2 linked regions of the Xenopus tropicalis genome follow. Each later gene encodes a partner of the first gene's protein in a complex. Links are inferred from orthologs where the notes say so. Each region holds a gene or a part of one and is shown on either strand. Other genes may lie near its edges.

Evidence for each region.
Region 2: the proteins of ercc6l (region 1) and bend3 are in contact, whole or in part, in a crystal structure (PDB 5JNO), measured with the Homo sapiens proteins. The link is inferred for Xenopus tropicalis from reciprocal best matches to the Homo sapiens genes ERCC6L and BEND3. Residues at the interface, in NP_060139.2 of Homo sapiens: Ala10, Glu11, Ala12, Leu13, Ser14, Pro15, Glu16, Ala18, Ala19, Tyr21, Leu22, Arg23, Lys26, Phe51, Pro52, Asn53, Glu54, Lys55; in NP_001073919.1 of Homo sapiens: Glu252, Gln255, Ile256, Gln259, Leu261, Asp265, Arg269, Val272, Gln273, Pro276, Phe279, Ser280, Phe335, Arg338, Phe339, Gln342, Glu346.

The regions. Positions count from the first base shown.
Region 1 is NC_030684.2:39,733,483-39,737,985, reverse strand, and holds the start of ercc6l (DNA excision repair protein ERCC-6-like), read left to right. Parts: upstream 1-1,429; 5' UTR 1,430-1,532; coding exon 1,533-1,627; intron 1,628-4,503. UniProt on the Homo sapiens protein: DNA helicase that acts as a tension sensor that associates with catenated DNA which is stretched under tension until it is resolved during anaphase. Functions as ATP-dependent DNA translocase. Can promote Holliday junction branch migration (in vitro).
Region 2 is NC_030681.2:79,031,581-79,035,398, forward strand, and holds part of bend3 (BEN domain-containing protein 3), read left to right. Parts: intron 1-285; 5' UTR 286-291; coding exon 292-358; intron 359-2,606; coding exon 2,607-2,809; intron 2,810-3,818. UniProt on the Homo sapiens protein: Transcriptional repressor which associates with the NoRC (nucleolar remodeling complex) complex and plays a key role in repressing rDNA transcription.

The sequences.
Region 1 (4,503 bases):
AATTAAATGTGCCCTGTAACTGGATTTAACACGCCATTATTTACAATAAATGTCATTAACTAATTCCTCCCGTGTAGTTCTAGGATGCTTTTTCACCTTTCTCAGAATCATTGACACCCCACGAGGTGAGATCTTGCGTGGAGCCCCAGAGCGAGGTCGATTGATGGTCATTTTGTGCTCCTTCCATTTTCGAACAATCGCACCAACAGTTGTCACCTTCTCTCCCAGCTTCTTGCTAATGGTTTTGTAGCCCATTCCAGCCTTGTGCAGGTCTACAATTTTGTCTCTGACATCCTTGGACAGCTCTTTGGTCTTTCCCATGTTGGAGAGTTTGGAGTCTGCTTGACTGATTGATTCTGTGGACAGGGGTCTTTTATACAGGTGACTAGTTAAGACAGGTGTCCTTAATGAGGTTGACTAATTGAGTAGAAGTGTCTAACCACTCTGTGGGAGCCAGAACTCTTAATGGTTGGTAGGGGTTCAAAAACTTATTTCACTCAATGAAATGCAAATGCTATCTTTTATTTAAAGTTATTTTTTCGATTTTCCTTTTGATGTGCTATCTGCCACTGTTAAAATAAACCTACCATTGAAATGATACTGTTCTGAGACTTTTCATTTCTTTGTCATTGGACAAACTTACAAAATCAGTGAGGGGTCAAATAATTATTTCCTCCACTGTATATAAAACTGGGTACTTTATTTATAGCCTAATAAGACAACTGTGTGCATATAGCGTTAGCCTGTTTTAGGGGTTAGCGCAGTGATCCCCAACCAGTGGCTCAGGGGCAACATGTTGCTCCCCAACCCCTTGGATGTTGCTCCCAGTGCCCCCAAACCAGGTAGTTATTTTTCCTGACTTTGTGGCGTTCTGGTTGAATAAAAACAAGATTTTCTACCAAATAAAGCCCCCTGTAAGCTGATAGTGTGCATAGAGGCTGCCTAATAGCCAATCACAGCCCTTATTTGGCTCCTCCATTAACTTTTATGATGCTTGTGTTGCTCTCCAAGTCTTTTTACATTTGACTGTGGCTCACGAGTAAGAAAGGTTGGGGACCCCCGGGTTAGTGTAGGTTAAGCCCTACTCAGGGCTCCTAAATAGTTAATAATTATGAAACTAAGCCGCTCATACTGCGATACAGTCCCTCTTACAACACTGCTAGCCTTCACACAGCCCCTGCCTCGCCTCTCAAACCTTGTTTTCGGCTCCATAGCAAAGCTGCCCAAACTACTCTTCACCCCACACACACACACACTGGCAGAACCTCAAGAATGCCAACACTTCTCTCAGACACTCAGCGCCACCCTAACGTTACAGCGGCCAGCTCCAAATATTCAACCGCAGCGAGGTATGACCCCTAAGTGAGGCCTGAGTATGCCTTCCCGTCTCTTGTAGTTACGTCACGCATAGCGAATACCTGGAACGCAGTGACCCCGCCCCCTCCGCGCTGCATTCTGGGTAGCTAATTTGAAAGCGAAGCGGGCTTTAGTGTTTCCATTCTGCCGCGTAGTAGTTCCTGGCATATCCAGCCATGGACGGGGAGGAGAGGCCGTCGACTGGCTCGAATGAACCGGGAGATCTGCACAGGAGCCGAGTGGAGCCCGAGCAAGTAGAAAGATATGAGCTGTAAGTAGTTAGAGGAAGCGCTGTATTGTCTGTATAACCTGCCTGCAGACTGAGTGAGTGGTGCTGTCTGGGCCGCCATAAAGAGACCCTGTAGCCAAGTGCGCATTGTGTTCCTCCTTAGTAACATGTTGGGCTTATCCATTGCCGCCCTGGAGTCTCTGCCCCCTGTGTGTGTGATGGGCATTTATATGGGGCATTTATATGGGGCATGTGGGGACAGCTGAGCGGCTTGGCTTGTATGGGGAGCCCAGAAATCAGTGCCTGGGGATCTGCCCTGGGGGCCAGCATGGCAGGGGCAAATGTACATACATATTAAATTGCCAGTCAGTATTTCCGGGATGGCCAGGTTGTATCAGTCAGTCAGTCTGTCTGTCACTACCCAGCAAAAGGGCCCCCCCTGTGTTCCTTTAGAGATAGGGGCCCCCGTGTTCCTTTAGAGGTAGGGGCCCCCCTGTGTTCCTTTAGAGGTAGGGGCCCCCCTGTGTTCCTTTAGAGGTAGGGGCCCCCCGTGTTCCTTTAGAGGTAGGGGCCCCCCGTGTTCCTTTAGAGGTAGGGGCCCCCCGTGTTCCTTTAGAGGTAGGGGCCCCCCGTGTTCCTTTAGAGGTAGGGGCCCCCCGTGTTCCTTTAGAGGTAGGGGCCCCCCGTGTTCCTTTAGAGGTAGGGGCCCCCCGTGTTCCTTTAGAGGTAGGGGCCCCCCGTGTTCCTTTAGAGTCAGGGGCCCCCCGTGTTCCTTTAGAGTCAGGGGCCCCCCGTGTTCCTTTAGAGTCAGGGGCCCCCCGTGTTCCTTTAGAGTCAGGGGCCCCCTGTGCAGCCCTGCCTAGCTGGGCATTATGTCCATGGGGAGGGGAGACATCTCTCTCCTGCTGCTGGGATCTGTGAGTTCTGCCTTGGGCCTTACCCCACTTGTTTATTTTATTATAAAGCAGTGATCCCCAACCAGTGGTTCGTGAGTAACATGTTGCTCCCAGTGGCCTCAAAGCAGCTGCTTATTTTTGAATTTCTGGTTAGGAGGTAAGCTTTGATTGCATAAAAACCCAGTGTAATTGCCAAACAGAGCCTTCTGTAGGCTGCCAGTCAACATAGGGGCTACCAAATAGCCAATTATAGCTGTTATTGGCACCCCAGGAACCTTATTCATGCTTGTGTTGTCTCCAAAGCTTTTTCCATTTGAATGTTGCTCATGGGTAATAAAGGTTGGGGACCCCTGTTATAAAGGGTGGATTATTGTTTATTTGTTTGGTTCTAAAAGGAAGGTGGGAAGTTCACTGTTAGTGACTTAATATGTTATATATGGATCAGTTCTGAACAACCTGTCAACCGGTTGGGGTAGCGGTTCAAAAAGTTCTTAAAAGTAGGACTAATTGCAGACTGACAGAATAATGCTCCCTGCATCATACTAACATTTTATTCTAATGGCATTGCCATATTTTGAAGGTTTCTGGATTATGAATATCTAAATTGTAAATCTCATACCTGTGTGTATATGTGTAACTATAATGGTGGCAATAAAAGGGGACCTGTCACCCTAAGAAATAATTCCAGATTGCTTTCAATTGTGTTTGTCAAGCAAAATAAACTTTACTTACAACATATAAGGTAGTTTAATCTTATTTTCTTTAGCCTTCGAATTCACAGTTGCAGAAAGCAGGCAGGTGCCATTTTGTGGAAACTGTTATTAGGTCAAGCTTTGCATCCTGCCAAAATCTTGTTTCTGTGCCAGTATGGGGTGACCTGATACCCATACCCATGCACTGGTTACACAATGAGATTGTGAGGAGGGCAGAAACATCTAAGAAGTTCTGAATTGAAAGTGAAAGTAACTGCCAACCCCACCTCTATGCCTAAGGCATAGAGGCGGGGCAAGCAATAAATGATTGACAGTTTGGATTTTTAAATGCTTTTATAATGGGTATGGATGTGTTAATAATAAAATGCGTTTGGGGTTCATATTTCATTTGAAATGGGCTTTTATTATACAGCTTTTTATGCCTGGATGACAGGTCCACTTTAAAAGGGAAGGAAAGGCTAAGTCACTTGGGGGTGCTAAAATGTTAAGCACCCCCAAGTGACTTGAATCGCTTACCTCGTACCCCGGGCTGGTGCCCCTATTAGGAGAAAACAGCACCAGCCCGGGGCACCTGGGGCGATGCGTTTCCTCCTTCCGCCTTCCTTTCCCTGAGACTCCAAGTCCGACGCGTGCGCAGTAGAGTGAAACGCCGACTTCTCTGTTAAAGTTCGGCTTTTCACTCTACTGCGCATGCGCGCGCAGCGAGGGAGGAAGGAGGATGCGACTGCTGCTACCCCGGGCTGGTGCGGTTTTCTCCATACAGGGGCACCAGCCCGGGGTAGAAGGTAAGCGATCTAAGTCACTTGGGGGTGGATAACATTTTGGCACCCCAAGTGACTTAGCCTTTCCTTCTTCTTTAAGTATAAACTGCTTAAAGTGGACCTGTCACCCAGACATAAAAAGCTGTATAATAAAAGTCCTTTTCAAATTAAACATGAAACCCAAATTCATTTTTATATTAACACATCCAAACCCATTATAAAGGCATTTAAAAATCCTAGCTGTCAATCATATATTGCTTGCCCCGCCTCTATGCCTTAGGCACAGAGGCAGGGCAGACAATAACTTTAGCTTTCCATTTAGCACTACCTAGATGTCACTGCATATCTCACTTTTCCCTTCCCTCCTCATCATCTAATTGTGTAGCCAATGCATGGGCATCTGGTCCCCCATTCTGGCACATAAACAAGATTTTGGCATGATACAAAGCTTGTCTTTAATAACCGTGTCCACAAAATGGTGCCTGCCTGCTTGCTTGGAATTGAGTAATTCCAAGACAGAAGGAAACAAGATTTATATTATTTATATA
Region 2 (3,818 bases), on another chromosome or scaffold:
GCAGCTAAAGAGTTCTGTATGCACATACGCAGAGGATTATTGATAAAAAAAACGAAAATGGCAGCACCAGACTCTGCAGAATGAACCCTGGGCTGGGTGCCAGCTCAGTGTTCCATATGAAAGATTAGTATCATTGGGGTGTCTAATAAAATGGCACCCTCATCAAGTGATTTGGCATTTGTTATCCTTTAAGTGCATGTTTTTCATTGATGAATTGTTAGGACTGACAGTTGTTGTACTCCGCACTGTGCATGCCTGATCTTCTTATTGTATTTTATCTTGCAGGGAGGTATGAAAATGAACCCAACTGAATTCCGAGAAGATAATAATAATAATAATGATGATGACGATAAAAAAGGTATTGTTCATCAAATGTTAACTACTGCTTTAGGTACCAAACTTCTAATTGGCTTGGCAAATATCAATACTGAAATTATTTTCTAATTAATGCAAAAAATAGTCATCTTTATGTAATGAGTAACGCCCCTTCCTAATTGTATTATATTTATCTCTTAAGGGAACTGTCAACTTCTCTCTCATTTTTATCACTTCCTTTTACCCTTTCGGTTCTAGGGTTTTTAAGACTAGATTCCCACAAGCAACCTTGCATTGATGTAAATTTGCCATAATGTGTATTTAAATCTCATATAGAAATTTCAATAGATTAACTCTATAAATCAATGTAATAAACCTGTTGTTGCTGATACACAGCCAGACTATTTTATAATGTCTATGCTATTGCTCTTGTTTAAAGGGGAACGCTACGCTTAGTTTTTAGTTATTTAGTTTTAAATATTGCGAGGCTAAAGTATATTTGCTTTTCCTATAGCGTTCATATAGTTGTTAGGCTGACTAGCTGAAACCTCCTTTATTACCACCCACCATTCTGTTTTGTTATAATCCCCTTGTGGCCTGACATAATTTTGTGTGCAGCCAGCTGAAAACAGCCACTCATGGCTTTATAAAGAAATGTACACAGCATGAACACTTCCCTTATTTTATTATAGCCGGCATAGCTATTCTTTATTCTAGGCACAATCCAGCATATGTATTTAAAGGACATGTAAACCCCACAAATATGTAATCAGTGATCAGCCTCTTTGAAATCTTTCAATACATGCCACACTGGTTGTCCAGAGATTAATAGTAAGGCTGCAGCATCCCCTTAATCACTTAGATTTGCTTCTCCTCCTGTAACCCACTCGGCCGCCTCCCTCAGGAATTTGCTTTGATTCCTGGCTTGCCAGACATGCTCAGTTGTTCTAAGCTCAGATTACTAAACACGCCCCCCAGTCTAGCAGCCAGTGAAGAGATGGCATTACTGGTTCCCATAGAAACTCTGCTCTAGCTGTCTGCTTCCATTTTTTTCTCCTGAGCTCAGCTTTACCATTACAGTGCTCAAACAAAAAGTTTTGCAGAACTTTTATCAGAGACAGTTTTGCCTGTGTGAACCTGCATTCTTGATTAAATGTATGCTGAATAGAGGTCTGTGTGTGTATGCTCTTTGCAGATTTAAATGTAACTGATTATGTATGTATGATTATGAATGCAAAATGGCCACTGGGAGAAAGCTACCATTTTTCACAGGAAAATGTTATGGTGGTAGCAAGCGGAGGGGGTATATGCAGTACAAATGATGCCATTTGGGTGGGGGAGACATGCCCAACTGATATACATTGTAGGAAAATGTAGGCTTTACATGTCCTTTAAGGGTACAGAGGACTGGTATATCAAGACCTGTAGATGATACTGAAGTTCTGATGTTGTCTTATTGGTTGACCTCTGGTGTCTGCAACTGTTGTAAGCCCTCTTACTTGGTTCTTGATCTGCAGACATCATATCTTAGGAAACTTTACCATTACACATTGCAGATCTCTTTAAAAAATGAATGATTTAGCCCATATGTAAAACGATTCAAATACATAAAGCCTTTTCATGAAAATGATATTATTCTTGTAGCACGTTCCACTCGTATGAGGCTCTCTGCTCACACAAAAGGCAAGGGCATACATACATGCTAAGTTAAAACAGCCAATAAATGGTTAGAGCTATTGTTTTGCACACACACTTCTTCCTATTACAATCAGAGCCACATTATTTCTTATAGTTATTACATCAGAAGATTTGTCTGTGTTTTGGCTACTTTTGTTTGTTCTGCATTTTCAGATGAGAGCAACGTAGGAATGCCATGTCTGAGGGAAGAATTCAATATAAACTTTTGTTTTTTCACTTGGAAAAATCAGTGTTGATAAATACATGTTTTTTTTGTTGCACAGTTTACATAAAGATACTAGTATTATGCATTTGGTGGGCAGAGTGCATAAGAGGCTTAAAATACTTGCAGAAAGTGCTTACTGAGGTGGTCAGTAAGGCAGAATCATGTGTCATGAATGTATTGGGTACACTTGTACTGTAATGTAATGTAAAGCTATAATAATAATAAAGTTATATAATAAAAGTTATAAATAAGGAAAATATTCCCATTAATAAGAGAAAAAATGCATTTCCCAATGTAATATTCTTCATGTACTGGAATCCATATAATATAACAAGTACCTGTTGTACTCCTTTAAAATTTGTTTTTTCTGTATACTTTTTTCTTACAGTGAAAGTAAAAGTGGAGGCATGCCATGAAGATGATTTGCTGGACTGTTCAGGTGCTGTATCTGGAAGGAAGCAAGTGCCAGACTGCATATTTGTTGGGCAGCCTGAGCCCAACAAAAGAAAACAAACTTCTTTTATTTGCGATGGTCCAAACAGTGAGCCTGAAACTGTAACAACTGTAAAAAAAAGACGACTTATTCCAGAGGTGAATCCTTTTTTTTCTTTTTTCAGCAATAAACCAAGGACCTGTGCTGGTCTCTATAATGCTTTTGGAATATCTTTTATTGACAGAAAACATTGCCAGGGTACTGTAGTACATATACAGTATATATTTTATATTGTAGAGAGATGACGGCACTCACAGGATTTACACGATTAGGAGTCAACGGGTCAGCAGTATCATAGATAAACCAAAATTCTTTTAAGGTTTTTATTGATCCAACGTTTCAGTTCCTTCCGGAGAGTGTATATATATATATATATATATATATATATATATATATATATATATATATATATGTAAATAAAGACACATGAGAGTTGATTCACTAAAGTGCGATAAAACGAGCGCTATTTATAGCATGCGTTAAAAAATTTATTGTGTCTTAATGCACGATTCACTAAAAGGATACTTGCGTTAAATTAGATGCGATGTTGTTTGCGTTATTTAAGTTGCAAAGACTATTTTTGTGCGGCATTTGATGCAACGCGTGCTAATTAACAAAGCGCACCACTTATCGTGCGCACTAATTAACGCACGTGCACTACTTATCGCGCACACGCCATATTAGCCATACACATCATTACATTCGTAAAACTACTTTTCTGAAAATGATCATTTCCCTGCAAACTGGAGGATGCATCACTCTAGGGCCATGCATACTTCAATAAATCACACTGCAAAGTCCATATTGTGTTGCCAAAACTCATGAACTGTACTTTTCTATAATTACCGCCTGCCCTAAGTAGGTGTTAATTTTTGCACAGACTAATGCGATATTTAGCGCGTCTAAGTGTTTGTGAATCATGTGTTAATATTATTTCTGCGCGCTAATTAACACATTCGGTTGCACGCTATTTAATGCATGCGATAATACTTTATCGAATTGCGCACTTTTTTTTTTTCACGTCAATTTTAACGCAAAAAAGCTTGCAATAACGTTAAATAACCCTATGGTGCCTTTTGTCACCACGTGAGATCACTTCTTGCATGT